Linked DNA regions of Oreochromis niloticus. The protein of the gene in region 1 purifies or fractionates together with the protein of each later gene. This does not show direct contact. Links are inferred from orthologs where the notes say so. Each region holds a gene or a part of one and is shown on either strand. Other genes may lie near its edges.

The links. The genes of interacting proteins can lie anywhere in the genome.
Region 2: the proteins of slc25a11 (region 1) and lrrk2 purify together in Homo sapiens (co-immunoprecipitation; 3 studies listed by IntAct, with this or other methods). This does not show direct contact. The link is inferred for Oreochromis niloticus from reciprocal best matches to the Homo sapiens genes SLC25A11 and LRRK2.

What each region holds. Positions count from the first base shown.
Region 1 is NC_031967.2:58,407,407-58,415,899, forward strand, and holds the start of slc25a11 (mitochondrial 2-oxoglutarate/malate carrier protein), read right to left. Parts: upstream 3,126-8,493; 5' UTR 2,934-3,125; coding exon 2,878-2,933; intron 990-2,877; exon of another isoform or gene 967-989; intron 872-966; coding exon 719-871; intron 628-718; coding exon 510-627; intron 372-509; coding exon 283-371; intron 194-282; coding exon 103-193; intron 1-102. UniProt on the Homo sapiens protein: Catalyzes the transport of 2-oxoglutarate (alpha-oxoglutarate) across the inner mitochondrial membrane in an electroneutral exchange for malate.
Region 2 is NC_031972.2:42,292,872-42,300,799, reverse strand, and holds the start of lrrk2 (leucine-rich repeat serine/threonine-protein kinase 2), read left to right. Parts: upstream 1-4,557; 5' UTR 4,558-5,134; coding exon 5,135-5,270; intron 5,271-5,979; coding exon 5,980-6,065; intron 6,066-6,440; coding exon 6,441-6,550; intron 6,551-7,765; coding exon 7,766-7,854; intron 7,855-7,928. Other genes in the region: proton myo-inositol cotransporter, read right to left, coding at 1-35, 238-707, 787-836. UniProt on the Homo sapiens protein: Serine/threonine-protein kinase which phosphorylates a broad range of proteins involved in multiple processes such as neuronal plasticity, innate immunity, autophagy, and vesicle trafficking.

The sequences.
Region 1 (8,493 bases):
ATTAAAATTTCGACATTAAATTACTGCATCTGGACTAATGGCTACTCATGCAGGCCCAAGTGAAGAAAATGATGGTGATGATGATGATGATGGTAGGCTCACCCTCCACAGTGTAGTGACACCTTCCTCTTTGGTTATTCGAAAGAGGGCATTAAAAACGTTCTTGTATCCTCTCCGCTGGTCTACAGGTAACCTGGAGACACAAACGGTGAGGAAAACGCCTGCGAGTCATTTTGTGTCCATGCCGTGCAGAGAAAGCTGCTCCAAGGTAAACAGTCTCACCGTCCATCGGCCGTCATCCTGATCAGCGCCACCTCTGCTGGCGTCCCCACAAATGCTCCGATGGCTCCAGCTGTCATACCAATCAGAGCCTGTAGGGGGAGCACACTGTTACTCAGCAGCATGGAGGGTGCTATAGCATCTACACCTTTACCACTGATTAAAAGCTTTCTACCAGCTTCTGGTTAGATGATTTCAGAGCTCATAAGCCTTTCACTCTTTCAGCGCACCTTGAGGAAGAAGTTCGGCGGCCGGCCGTCACTGCTGGTCATTTTCTCAAACAGGATGGTGTAGATTCCCAGACGGGTCGTCGTGTAGGTCGCCTGACGCAAAAGACCTGCTGACAGACTGACAAACACACAAAGAAACTCACAGTGAAGCAGGGAGACAAAACGAGAGTTAAAATGATAAAAATCAGGATGGGGTGAAGCGCTGGTACCCGGTGTAGATGCCTCGCACGCCCTCGTTTCTCAGGATGGAGAACAAGGCGTGGAAGCTGGTTTTATACTCTCGAGCCTTCGTCCCCTGACCGCTCAGCTGCATCCTGTTCTTCACCAGGTCCAACGGCTGCACGAAGACGGTCGCGCCCATCCTGCAGAAACAGGACAGATCCGTTTATTAAAGCTGAAGCATTACCGAGAAAACATGAAAGCAAGTACTTTTTGGCACATTCAAAGACAACAAAACCTGGGAGCGCAGACTTGTTTTCACGTATCTGACACTTTATTTTAGATGTCTGAACCGATTTAAATCGTAACTTATAAAATGAGACCTTTGGACTGACTGTTCCAACAACTTCCACTGAAATCCAAACAATGTGATCAAAATAAATCAAAGTTCACTTAAAAAGTTTTTTTTTATTTGAAAAGAACATAAGGGAGGAGTTTTACAGTTAAGGGAGACAGTAAAAACTAAAACATGGTAGCTCGAGTTCAAGCGCAGTTCGAGAACAGAGGTGTTTTCCTCTAATGAATTTACACTCCTGTTAGTAGTGAAGCTGCAGCGATGTGGTAACTCTGCAGTGATAAGTTATCAGGGACTGGAAGAGCTGGTACTGTGGGTTTATCAGGAGGTGAGAGTTTAGCCTCCCTCAGAAAACCCAGACGGCAGCAGGTGAGAGAGCACAGATTAACTCACGATGATGAAAACCTGCCTGGGGCAGCGATTCTTGTCTTTTAAATCAGAACACGTTCATTTATTTTTCTCAAATGAAGCTTCACAGAAGAGCGTGCTGGGATCCTGACGAATGACAAATTACAAACTGTAAAATTAGAGATGGTGCAGACATACCTCTAAATTATCTCTGATTCACACCAAATATGGATTAAAATATAAATTAATATGCAAACCTACAGCTCTAATATTAAGTCATGCCTTTATTTTTAACTTTTATAGTTTCTGAGATATGTATATGAAAAAATGTGTGCAAGTTTGAAATAAAGTCAACTGTTGACACCACCTCACTAAGTTTGTAAGAAGCAGCCATACTGTCAACATTTGGTGACCTTCAACTGTTTATCATGAAGCTGTTTAACCTGCTACGCCTGCTAAAGTAACCTGACACACACACACTTGAAAGCAAACATTCAGTTTAAGAAGATAGAGTTACTGAACAGCCTGGTTCTCCATATTTCCTCTCACACACTCATGTTAACCTTCATGTCAGCATACGTTCACTAATCCCTGTGAGCCAAAAGGTCAAATTGTTCAGTTTATCATTTTTTTTTCTATTTTTGGATCAATATGATGTCAGAGATAGTCACACACCCTGTTGCGTGAGGGGCATCCAATCACTGAGGCGCAGTATGAGATAATTATTGAGATTATAATTTTAATTCATTCATCAAATTATTAATTGGCTTAATTAACCATAACTTTTATGATACATGATTAAATTTGTAAATGTTTTGTGATAAACATGGATCAGAGTCTAACTGAACCTGATTTCAGAGTTTAGAGGACTCTAAACCCGGTTACATCATCTTCATCATCATGGTCATAAAGCTGTCATCCATCCCGGCTACAGTTAGCATGCTAACGGGAACTCGGCCAGGGCTGAGCTCAGACCGGGGAGCCGACGTCAGGTCCCCCTGACTGGTGCGACCTCCCCTCATCTGCTGTCAGAGTTTACTTTAGGGAAGCTTCGCTGCTAATCCAGCGTTAGCCTGCTAGCACTCCTCGGTGTAGAGCCCAGGCGGGACGCTTTAACAAATAATTTCCCGGGGATACAAGCGGAACATTTTCAGGACTTTTACGAGTTTACATGTTTAAACGTGTTCTGGTGAGAAAAAAGAGACAGGAAGCTCTACTCGAACACGGCTGGCTAACACATGTAGAGAGGTGCCCAGATTTCGTCATGACACCGGTGTGCTGATGAAAACCGTCCCCGCTGAGTTATCGGGGTGCAGCCCGTCCTGTGACAGCCAGCATCAGCTGCTAACAGCTAACCATCAGCGTGTCGCTCCGCCGAGGTAACGGCCTCCGTGCTGTCCTTTAAACCGCATAGAGGTTTGACACAGAGCGGGTTTAAACTGACCAGAGCTCTCCTCTGACCCCTGACATTAGCGCGATAGCATGGCAGCTAGCCGCATCACCTACCCAGCCAGCCCCCGAACAGGAACTTGATGGCCTTCGGGAGGTCTTGGGCTTCGCATCCGCCATGTTTCCCCCGATCGGTCAGTGGCCGCAGAGTCTGCGTTCAGATTTCTGCCGCCCGCCTGCCTGTGTGCCTTTGGGCCGAGCTTTCCGCCTGCTTTCTCCCTGTCTCAGCGGCGGCAGCAAGAGCAGCAAGGTGACTCTATAAAGCGGACGCGTCCCGAGACACGAAGAGCAACGGACCAATCAGGAGACGAGGAACGATCAACGTGCGACGTTCAAGGTCTCATTCTAAACTCCTCCATCCGAACTCTATCAACTAATACAGCGAAGTTAATGACGTACAGCGCATATCCGATATTTAGAAGGCTGTAGTCTTTAGCTTACTGATGTTATATAAATAAGTAAAATGTTATTTTAAAATGACATGCAATAAATTACACACGTGAAGTTGATTATGAATTCATCATCATTTGACCAAAAACATGTTTATACAGACTGATACTTGAAACGATGACGAGCCTTTTGATAAAGACAAAAATGAAATTAAACATTGATTTGCTTCTGCGATAGGCCTACTCAACTAAAAATTCGTGCATGGCATTCTTATGTCTTTCATTTCCGAGAGTTCTTGAATGCAGCAGATGCTGGTTATTTAATCAAGTATATGTATAAATATGTAGAAAACATACATTTAAAAGTGTATAACTGGTAGGACGTTATATAAATGTTTAATTTTTAAATTAGGAAACTAAAAGCCGCAATTATTTGTTAAATAATTTATTGCTTATAATGTTGTACCATTGTGACGAGATGAGATGGCTTTTATTTGTCAGTTGCAGTTGCCCACAACCGAGATGAGAGACCTTGCCGACCGTACAGGTCAGGCTAGGTAGCAAAGGAAAAAAAACTGTGAAATGTGTAACACAAAAGGATAATCCAGAAAGATAAGGAGAGGGTGAAAGATGCGTCCGCCTCCTCCGAGAGCCACAGAAAGAAAACATTTTCTTGTAGCATGGTTGAAACATTGTAGCAACCATTGTTGTACCATTCTCTTGAATATTATGGCTTTAATACATCCAAACTGATTTCTTGTTTAGTTTCAGAATTAAAAATGAATTACAACTGTTGCCACCATCATTTCAGCGTAAACACAGCGTCAAACTAAGGAGTCTGATGTGACACACAAAACAACAGAAGGCTGGGATTCTTTCCGAACGCTCATTGGTTTAGAGCTAGAGAGGGGGAGGGATTTATCACAAGCAACAGCTTGCTGAGGAAGTAGATCCGGGGGCAGCGGTGAGTAGAAACACTGAGCGGTGTTATTTCTGTTTTGTTTTTGTTTTTTACCGGATTAAACTCCCATAAAACGCCTCGGTGTGACCGTCCGACAGCCGGAGATCATACCGCGGAGCTGGCGACAGTTTCTGCTGCGTCACATTACCGGTGTTTTGGCGGGTCGGAGTGATTGGGCAGCTAGCGTTAGCAAACAGCAGGAAGCTCACTAACAGAAAGTCTGTTAGTGAAGTTTTTCGGAGTTTTTTACACAGAGATCCAGAAATAAACAATTTATACTACAGGCTGGCTGCGGAGGGATACACAGGAGCTGAGGTACTTATTTATGAGGCGTTACCTGTGTTTGTTCTCCACTGTTTACATGCTGGGTCCTGTTTGTTTAGGGAAGGAAACGAGGAGCTAGAGAAGTAAACACGGAAACAGAAAAGGAAGGGAAGAAGCACAGAAGGATAAGAGGAGGTAGAGAAGTAAACAAACAAACAGAAGGAAGGAAAGACGTACAGAAGGCAGCAAGGTATCAGGTAAGAATCATGGTGGCAGAGAAAAGGCAGGAAAGAGGGATATGAGGAAGGAAAGTAAATAAAGGGGGAAGGGTTGAAATGAGGACACAGAAAGGACGAGAAGGAGGGGGAAAGAAGTAAGGAGAGGTAACAAGGAGGCATTGTGCAAAATAAGGAGCAGAGGAGGATCCAAGGAGCCACAGCCTAGGAAAGAGAAACTTTTTTCTCCTCGTTAAATGATTTTTTTTTCTCACTGTTTTGGTAGGCGGTGTTACCTCTAGGTATCCAATGACAGCTCTCCGATCATGTCCGCGGGCGGGGCTCCACACAGAGCGGACTAATGAGGAGGAGGCAGAGCCATGACGGGCGAGGAGACGAGGGGGGGTCGGCAGTGGCGGGGGAGCAGAGCGTGGCGGCGGGGGGCATGCCGCGGCTTGCCGTCTTCCTGTTCCCCTCGGAGATGGTGTTCTACGCCGAGCAGAGGAGCTCCCATAGGAGGGTGCTGACCCTTTACAACCCTACAGCTTCAGCCTCAGCTTCAAGAGTGAGTGCAGCCATGTTTAGGCCCCTGGTCACGCCGCCGCTGCCTCTAACAGCCTCTCTCTCTGTCCTCACAGTGTGGTGCACAGCGCCCTCGTTCTACAGGGTGGTGGAGGCAGAGGGCAGCATCCGGGCCAAGTCCTGCGTCGACCTGTGAGTGTTTCAAACTTTATTTAAAACTTATTCCATAACGAGGCTCTCATGCAATCAAGCATTTCATTTTCCTGTCAGGGTCGTGCGTCACCTGGACGTCTCCCCCAGAAACTGTGGCCGCAGGGACCGGTTCCGCATGGAGGTTAGGGGCGGAGGCCAGGTGGGACGACGGGAGATCTGGGCGGAGCTTAGAGGAGGACGAGAGGAAGAGGAGCAAAGAGGAGGTCAACAAAGGGCGCCGCCCCGTCCTACTTCTCAGCTTCTGCCCGCACAGGCACACCTGCCTGCCTGCACAGGTAAGGCACCATGGAGTGCTCTGATTGGTTCCTGTAGCAGTGCATTCGCGGGTGCAGAGTTGATCTTACTGATGATGTGTCTGTGTGTGTGTCTGCAGCTGTGCGCAGCGCGTCTCAGTGGGCGGTGTGTGTGGCTGTGGCGGTGCTGTGTGTCACAGTGTTGATGCTCCCCCTGCACACTGACAGCAACTCGCTGGTTCCACACTGGCTGCAAGTCTCCACCAATCAGAAGCTGGTCTGCGCCTACACACTGGGTAACACCACGCGCACACACACACACACACATACATACACACACACACGTCTGTATGACCTGAGAGAGAGGGGAGACAGGAAGGAAATGCGACAGTGGAAAAGTAAGCAAAAAGAAGGTAAAGAATTGAAATAGATAGAGAAGGAAACAAGGAAGTAGAGAAGAACAGTTATAGGTGAAGAAAGGAGAAATGAAGGGACAGTTAAGGAAATGAGAAGTCAGAGCAGAAAGGAAGGAGTCTCGGAAGGAAATGTGGTGATAAAGACGCAAACAGGAAACTAGAAAAGGAAATAAGGAAGCGGAAAAGAAACTAGATCTAGAGAAGGAATTAGGAGAGAAGGGCAGGAATGAAAAGGAAACAAGAATGTAGTTGGAGGGAAAGCTAAGGAGGTAGAAAAGGAAATGAGATGGGGGATAAGGGAACGAGAAGTTGAAGATTCAGAAGTACACAAAAACATACAAAGACGGAGGCAGAAAAGGAAATGAGGAGGTAGAGAAGGAAGCAGTGATACTGTGGTTGTCTCGCAGGTCTTGTTACCATGGTGTTTCTACGGTGACGTCATGCTGCAGCGACCTGTGGCCTCACCGTCGTCCACACAGGAGGACCCCTCAGACGATTGTCACGGGACAGCGAGTAGCGTGTTCAAAAAAGCTTTATTTAAACGTGTCGACAGAGTAGACAGAGTCATCGACCACAGACGAACAGTTGGATACGAGCGCCGTGAGAAGAAATGGATGTTAAACCGACGAACATGTGACTAAGCTGTGATGCTGCGTAAATAAAATGATTGTAAATAAAAACAGAAATTGATGATTTTAAGAGGATTCAAGTCTTTATTTAAGTGTAAACAGAACAACACAACATCATCTTTGACCAGAGTGTACTCACACGTTTAAATAAAGTTTTTACAGAAGCTCAGTGCATCTCATCATATCCAGGGTAAATAAATAAGTAAAATAAAACAAAGCAGATAAACTCTGTAATCAGATGTGCGTGTCTGAGCTTCAGCTTCTTTGAAGTTTTACTGCTGATGGTAAAATGTTCACAGAGGTTCAGCTTTTCTGTGAGCGTGATGCGTCGTTATCCATCAGAACTACAGAGCTGACCTTCCAGTCTCTGATAAAAACCTCATCTAATCAAGTAATGCATGAATAAGTAAATGATGGAAAAGTTCCAGTTTCTTCTTCACTGCCACGAATAAAAACCTGTTCTTTAAAAGAATTCCCTGCATCTTTCTGCATGATCATCAGTGCTGATCGTTCTCGATGTTCCTCTGGGATCGCTGATCAGTTTCAGACCTGAAGCAAAGTGAGCAACAGATTTCCCATTCATGAGCTTGAACCCTGAATGCAGTGATGAACACACGATGGCTCTGAAGGACAGGTTTCCCCTGAAGTCTGACATTTCATATTATTGTTAAACTTTGTTATTATTCTCACAAACAAGGAGCCGTTCTGACAGGTTAAAAATGTTTAAAAGAATAAACGTAGAAAAGAAAAACAATGAATTAATAAAAATCGATTATAATCTGTGTCACAGATGAGGCTCACTCCAGATTAACGTAAAGAAACAAACTCTCAGATTTATTTTCACCTCATTTAGAAGGTGATTTACACCTGCTGAGTGAAGCACACGAGGAGGAAGAAGGAAATAAGGAAGGAAGGAAATAAGGAGGTAGCAAATGAGGGGACAGAGAAGGAAATAAAGAGGAAAGAAGAGGAAAGGAAGGAAATGAGCCCAGAATGAGATTCCAACACTTTACCAGCGGAGATGTGTGTCAATAAAGAAATACACAAGGGGCCTGTCTCAATATGCGTACTTGTGCGTACTTGCATTCTCGTGTACTCGTGATCAGTACAAAACCCAAACGCGGCAATGGCGGAGGAGCGCGGCTAAAAACTTTTAAATATTACTCTTTCTGGGTCACAAAATAAACGTTTAAGTTATTTTGAAGTGAGAATGTAGCTGTGTACGCTTCAAATATCTGCTCGATTAATCAAGATATCACAAATTTCCAAACAAAATCGGTTTGGCTGAGATATATTTCAATTCAGGAGGAAACATTTTCACTGGGAACAAAAACAGCATGTTAATACTAGATTCTGAAGGCTGCTTCAAAATGATCAGATTATAATTTAAATATTTGTTCAGTTCTCTTCCAAACCCCAGCAGCTGTCTGTTGTAATTATTTTAGTGTCCACTAAAATAAAAATAACACGTCGTAACATCTCACCTGTTTGTTTTTATTAAGGCATACATGTACATATTAATAGAGATTTCGCTGCTGAGGTTAAACATGATATATGAGTCACTTAGATCACTTCTAAATGTTAATGTTTGGTTCATTTCAGTGTTTTCTTTGTTCCTGAGTAAATCGGTTTGGCTGAGATTAAAGTTAAGCTTCATAACATGTTACTCACAGTTAAATTAAGAGGGGACGGCAGTAAAAACTCCGGACCTGTGACATCATCAAGTACGCTGTACAAATCCCGAGTCCGTGCGTGCCGGACTCGCGTACTTGAGAAAGGGCCATGGGAGTGTTTTTGTTCTTCTCGCGTTATTTTTTAGTCACCGCGAGAG
Region 2 (7,928 bases), on another chromosome or scaffold:
TGCGATGTACACAGGAACAGTCATGGAAGCAATGCCTAAAGGCAAGGAGGGGAACAGTTTCATGCTAATGTACAACAGATGCATTCCCACAGACAATTCATATTACATCCTAGCTCTGTGTTTGAATACGGCAAATATTGAATAATGAAAGTCAAACAAAGGGCTCCTTATAAGAAGCAAAATCATAATGGTGACTTTACCTCGATACAAGCTGTAGTGTTAAATAAAACAACTCACCTATGCCCAAACCAACTGTAATTCTGCCAACAAGGAGGACCACCTTGTCTGGGGCAAGACTCAAGATGATGCCACCGACAGTGAAGATAAAGCTGGCCACAAGGATACAGATCCTGCGCCCCAGCCACCCGTTCAGGTAGCCTCCACTCAGGGCAGAAAGCGCTGCAGCTCCCACAGTACTGGAAACCAGCAGCTCCTGCCACAGAGCATTCAGGTTCATTTCCTTCTTTAGGAGAATCATGGCTCCAGAAACCACTCCAGTGTCATACCCAAAGAGGAATCCCCCCAAGGCAGAGAAAAATGCCAACAAATAGACAAAAAGCGGCTTGGGGGCATCCTGGTCTAGGAGATTCTCATCCACATGCCTAGATGGAGGTCCTATGAGACTCCGCTCTCCATCGTCCCCGGCTTTCTGTCTCCTGCTGGCCATAAGGTTGCTCATGTGCTCCAAGCTGTACTCATCATAGCTGCTGGACATAGGAGAAACCAGAGGTTAAGCTCACCAGGGGTTGCAGGTCACCACTTTATTAAATAAGCCAGGTGACATACTTCTGTGAGGAAGTGGCGGTGACGTGTACATGGATGCAGTCATTTCCCATTAATACAGATTACAAAAAATAATCATTTTGTTGTTGTTGTCGTTTTCCCCCCAACAAAAAAATAGCAATATTTTCAGTGCCACACTTTCCGTTAACCTCTAAGTTAAAGTCCAAACCTGGGGGTGTTTTTAGGTGTCCAGCTCGAGAAAGCAACACGTCGTGATTTTAGCAGCTATACTAGCTAACTTTGATGACGACAACATTTCGTGACAAACTCCTGTGGTTAACCGAGCGCCAGATTCTGCTTGTGTCGCAGATTTCGGAGTCGCGCCGTGGGAAAGCTGCCTAAACAGTGTAGGTTGATGACTTTAAACAGACTTTAGATGTTTTTGTTCACCACTGACAGCGCTACTGCTTTGCTCTGCGTGCAGCCATGTTTGTGCGTGAGGTCACGTGCCCACCCGGCTACAAAAACAATGTTGTTTCTTTTTTTCAAACTGAGTGTTTACAATGTCCCTACAGCACCGTGCCAAACTCCATCCAAAATGTCATTTTTAACGAATTTGTGCTCAGCGGAGACTGTTGTGCACGTAAAACCAGAGTTGACAGCACATGTATTGTCTACTCGAAAATTCGGCAGAGATGTGAGCGAACAATTTTCATTCAGATTACTTTTTTCCCCATGTATATATTTTTCATTCATCTATTTTTCATTACTTTCATGTGTATTTCCGAATGTAACTTCTACTTCATTTATTCGTATAATGCTAAAAGTACGGAATGGTAAGTGACCCTTATGCCCCTCGTCCCCATAAGTTATCTGTTTGCAGTAAAGTCAAATAAGTCGCATTATTGGACTTTAGCCTGTCAGGTCACCTTAACTATCTGTGAAAAAACTCTACCATACCTGTAAAAAAGCTGCTTTCCTCCAGCGCACAGTGCTGCTGTCGATATGCTCTTCAACAAACAGGAAGTCTGTTATGTGGATCATATGATATTATCCCTGAAAAAAAAAACGTAAACACGCCCATTTGAACTGTAAAATGTAGCCCAACTGGTTCTTTTTATGGTAGTCGTGATTAATGAGCCAAGACAGCAAGAATTTGCACTGGCCACAAAACATGGCAAAGATTTTAACTGTGAGCACTTTATTATGCGCTATTAGTAAGTTTGGGCAGATTTAGATGGATACGTTTCGCGGAGGTAAATATTAACTATTACTTTAGAGAACAAACAGACACTTGACAGATAAAGACACGTTTTCCACCGGGCTTTCCTACATATAAATTGTGCAAAAAGCAAAACCCATCCAAATCGTGGTCTAATGTATACTTTAAAACACACTAAGCAGTCTTGAGTCCTACAATAAAATTTCAGGACTACAATCTCTAAACAACAAGTGACCGAATACAAAAAATATAACATACATCAACAATAGCATAACATGAATGCCCAGTGGTCACGTGAATAACACTGATTATGTGTTAGTGGGTGGGATATATTTGTGAAGGCTAAACAACTGAGTCAGAGCATCTCCAATACTAAACTGTTTAGGAGCAGTGTTAAATCAGCAACAAGGTCATGAGCCCTCAAGGCTCACTGATAGCCTACACATGGGGAGCAAAGAATGGTCTGTGTGGTCCGATTCAACAATTCATGCATGTTCTGATAGAAAGGTGTGGGAATACAAATGTTTTTTGTTTTTTTTGTTTGTTTGTTTTCTTTTGGGGGGGGGGGCAAGTAAACCAGAGACAACTCTGGTGATATCAGTCGCACAATTACAGTTTGAATCTTGGGGGGGGGGGGCATAATTAAGGTGGAGGTAAAAGATTTCTGGGAAAAGTGAAGTCATGAGTACCGACGAAGGTGCCAACAATGGATGCATGAGGATTAGAAATAGATTTAGAAGTTTCTCTTCCTTCTTTCTTTATTTAAGTAGTCTTTCAGAATAGTTTTGAATGATAAAAAAAAAAAACTGCTGAAAAGTGAAGATATTTAGGCATATCACTGGTTCATCCCCTACACTAAAATTACAAGAAAAAGTACAGTCTAACTTTCAGTCTTCCTCCTGTGATCGATGACGTTTCTTTTATCTGCAGACATTTTTAAAAATGAGCCGTGGGGTTGTACCCAATGCTAAATACAGGAAAAATAAGATATGACCACGATGTCAAGCTGATATTCTGTGCTCACCGACTCTCATCCAATCCTCAAATCAGATGGTGCTCTCCTTGCCAGGGAACAGCTGGACCTGAACCACAGCTTCCAGGGATACTGGACGTACCTAGACTATAACATAGTTTGTACTTGTGTTATATAACTTAAACAACATAGTTTTGTCAATGATTTCTTGTTTTAGCCTCACACTCATTTACTTTCCTCTCTGTGGGAGAAAAAGGTCCACCCTTCACACAAGTGTCCAGAACATAGGGCCACAGGTCTGATGATACAATTACAAAATTGATCATCAACCTGCAGCCTAGGGTCTCTTATTGCCATGTGCAATTATAGACACCCTTATGTTTGAACATGGTCTTTGTTATCGACAATTTCTGGTTTGCACAGAAGTCTAGTAATAGAACATCACTCTGGTTCACATCTGGCAGGCCGTTCCTCCCAATCACGCGCCTCCGGGTCTCACTGTTGTTGCCCACATGAGCGTTGAAGTCTCCCAGTAAGACGACAGAGTCCCCAGGTGGAGCACCCCCAGGCACACCACCTAGGGACTCCAAGAAGGCCGGGTACTCTGAACCTTCGTTTGGTGCACGGGCGCAGACGACAGCCAGGACCCATTCTCCAACTCAAAGGTCCAGGGAACAAACCCTCTCATCCACCAGGAAAAACTCCAACTTATAGGCAGCAAGCCAAGCGGATGCTAACATATTCTGACCAAATTGTTTCCAATTTTCCACATTAGGTACAAAGCAACACTGAAAAAGCTTTTACTTTGGAAGCCAAATCATATTGCAAAAAAACAGCAATACAGTGTAACTCTAACAAGTGGGGATGGGTGCATTGATGCAAATATTGAAAGTACTGATCCCAGCATTGATATTGCTCCTGCTTCATGAAAAAGTATTAACGTCTGTGCAAACACCGGTCCTTTCAGGCAGCCACACTTTGCTCCACCCTCACCTCCTCCCTGTGGTTTGTTGCTGTGGAGTCACATGACTTAGGTGCACCTGGTGTCGAGATATTTATAGCTGTAAATGAAAACACTGCAAACAGCGATGCATGTAGGAATTTCTCCACTATGACTTTATTGTGTCACAACTAGACAACAGTGGCAGTACAGATTAAAAGTATACAGTTTTACTGTTGTTTACATTCAGTGATGCCACCTAGTTATGTTAATTCTATGTGGAGCTGCTGGTGTGGTGGGATTTTTGAGTTGAGGGGGCATTCCACAAAATATTTCTCACCGGGAATTCGGAACTTCCGACTTATTCAGGAACACAGCATTAAAAAAAACAAAGTATCGATCATATTACCTATTATCGATTCAATACCAATACAAGCTTTGGTATCGATCCGCTCACCCCTACTATACAGGGGTGATTACTTTGGGAGGACACCTAATTTAGAGACTAACTGAAATAATTAAAAAATATTTTAGAGTTTGCTTTAGTGTGGGAATTTTCCTCCATCATACACAGCAAATGTCAGTGCCAGGTCAAGCTGCATTGTTGTAAATCTGTAAATCAGCAACTGGCATTAGACGCAGAGTGGGAGGGCTCACTGAAGCCACTCGTTAGCCTGTAAAAGTGTAGCCTGAAGTAAAAAACAAAAAAACAAACAACAAAAAAACCGTTGGGGGGTAACGTAATAGCCGCTTGACTTGGCTCTCTGTCTGACTTGCTTCCCCTGCCAGAGAGAAAGTCGGATTCTCTCTGACTCTATTTTCAGCTTCCTCTTCTGTAAGCGGGGAGTTTTTACTGCCTGCAGTCATATGATGCGATCGTAGGAAAGCAGGAACACGCCTTTCAGAGAGGACTCGCTTCGTTTTCACATCCAAGCAACATAAAATCACCGACTCCGCAAAGAGGAACTTATTCTCTGCCACAGGAAAGTTAGCCGAGGACTGTGATGTCGGAACCGAAACTCCGCGACACTGACCGCTTCCCTTGTAGCGACAGCCACTTATAGCTGTCTGTAGCTACTGTATTATTATGCAACACAGCAATTCAGTAATGTTTTGTAAAGACATGAGTAACTACAGTGGATTTTCAGTGAGTTATTTATACGCTAATGCTGCGCTCAGTGTGGCCGCTCGAAGGCCGTTGTCGGTTCTGAGAGAGCGCAGTGATTGACCTCAATGCACGTCAAGTCGTCAGCTGGAACACCGCACTTTAAAGACCATGGTTAACAAAGAGGAGCTGGAAGAAAGGCTGAAAAAACTTTTGGTGAGGCTGAAAACTCCCCAGGAAGACAGGCAACTGTGCACGCTGATTCAAATCATCCAGGATCTGCTTTTCCTGGCGCACACCGACTATGGTAGGAAGCACATTGTTTCAGCGTGTGCATCATCACGCTGCTCATAAACAGCCATCATTTCCTTTTGGCATTTTTTCATTGCCTTATGAGAATTAGGTCAGATTAAAGTTTTTTTATTCAATCAAGTAGTATTTGCCCAGTGTGAAATGTGATATGACACTCACTACTTTTGCATGATCGTTTTTATGGTTTTATTTATTTCAGCCCACAATGTAATTCACTCTTCTTGGTTTTTGTTTGTTTGTTTGTTTTTTAACTCTGATCCTTTTGTGCATTTTTTCCCTTCCATCCTTCCATCTTCTAGTCTATTGATGCTGTATTTATTTGTTCATATGGTCTACTTTAAGGTTTGTTATACAGCAGGTTAATGATTTAGCTGTTTTGAGTAATTTCCCAGTTTTGGCGATAAATAAAGCATATCTTATCTTAAATACAAAACATAATGTCTTTGGGGTCATACTAAGGCCATTATAGTTTACTTAAAACTAGGTGTGAAAACACATTCAAGTTACCTGAAATCAAATTTAAAATGGGATTGACTTAGATTTGTAGATTTTAAGCACAGACTTGTACCTGCACAATGAAGCCCTGCTGTAATGCTGCCTTGTTATGCACATTTAAAAATAGGAATGAGGGTAAAAGACCCAGTCACTCTATTCAAAACTAATGGGACTCATCGTGTCTTCTTATCTCTTGTTCCATGTTGTAGCAGCTGAACTGTTTGAAGACAAAGATGTCCACGTGCCCCTCGTGCTGGTTCTGTCTACCCACATCAGCAGCAGAGGAGTCCAGCAGGTAATGAATGACACAACAAGAATTAGCCATTATTATGGCAGGTGGTGCTATCTGGGTGAGGTGAGGTGTGTTCAGCAGCATCACTCGCTAAAACAGCCTCAGCTCTTTGTTGTTGACAAATCATCTGTGGACTGACGCACCTATACATCTAGCATGTCTTGTGACTGACGTGTAATGCTAATTATCAGAGGTAAGACTGCATATTGAAGCAAACTGAAAGTGAGATTGTAAGATTCATATATGGCAGCAGGTTGTGGCGCTCTTTCTCAGTACTGTAATGTGTATGCTTGAGATCAGAATCATTACTTTTCATTGGTTTATTATAATGACTCATTCCCGTCATTTTAATAAATTGTTTGTTCTTCCTTTTTACAGGTTGGCTGGTCATTGCTGTGTCAGCTGATTGAAATATGCCCCACTACACTGGACCAGTTAACCAGACCTTTGGATGAAGCCCAAGAGTGGGAGGTAGAGGGAGTGCACCAGTAAGTGAAGACTCTCTGGCAGCTGTGGGCTTGATGCAGCACCACTCATTTAAATGAATGACTATCATGATGGCTCATGCCACACGAAGGTACATGAAGTATGTAGCCGTGGTCAAGACAACCTGCTCAAGTTCAAATCAAGCATTAAAATTGGAAGGAAAGGTGATTGGAGTGACTTTGAATGTTGCATGTTGTTGCTGTTGGTTCCAGATGGGCTGGGCTGAGTAATTCATAAACTGCTGGGTTTTTCCCACAGAACAATCTCTAGGGTTTACAGGGAGTGGTTCAAAGAAAAAATGTCCAGTGAACGGCAGTTCTCTGGGCAAAAACCCCTTGTTTATACCAAAGGTCAGATGACAGTAGTCAGACTTTATAGTAAGGCAAACAGTAACTCCAAAAACAACTTGGCACTATCAAGTTATGCAGTAGAGCATCTCTGAATGTTCTTCTGAGATGCACAGCAGAGATGCACAACATGTTGAACGCTGAAACAGCTACAGGGGCAGCAGACTGCACTGGGTGTCACTCCTGTCAACCAAGAACAGGAAACTAATGCTACAGTTAAAACAATCTTGTCAAAATTGGACGACAGAAAACTGGAAAAACGTTACCTGCTGTGATGTGGCTTGATTTCTGCTGCGACGTTCAAATGTGAGGGTCAGAGTTTGGGATAAACTGCATGAATGCATGGATCCATCCTGCCTTGTAGCAACTGTTCAGGCTGGTAGTGGCGAAATGGTTGTAATGCCACAGCGTAACCGAGTATGGTTGCTGATCATGTTCATCCTTTTATGACCAGTGTGCCCATCATCTTTAACACAACTGTGCACCATGTATAAGCTCAAATCATCCCAATCTGGTTTCTTGAACACAACAATGCCTATGCTGAACTTTAAATGACCTCCACAGTCACCAGTTCTCAGCCTGGTAGGACTCCTCTGGGATGTGGTGGAATAGGAGATTCGAGTCATGGTAAATCTCAAGGCAAAAAGGGGACTAACGGCCTGTGAGTGTAATTTCATTTGAAGTTGTTGTCGGGATTAAATAATCAAGTTAGTATTTAGGGTGAAGTAGTTAAAACAATATATATCATAAAATAAGTTTTAATTCAGTTAATTTTTGCAAAGGTTTGGTCTTTCAATGGAGATGGAAAAAATGACCTAATCTATTTGGCGACAGCCTTGGTGAAGTTTTTGCTTGTTGTATGTTTTCCAGGCAGATCCTCAAGGTGTTATCTCAGTACAGCGCAGATTGTCGAGTGACCATGGTTGCACTCAGAGCCTTGGCACTGCTGCTCAGATCAGGTATGAATACACCGAAGGTCCTTCCTGCTACAGATGGCACCGCCAAAAGTCTTATTTGTCATTTAAGACTCTTT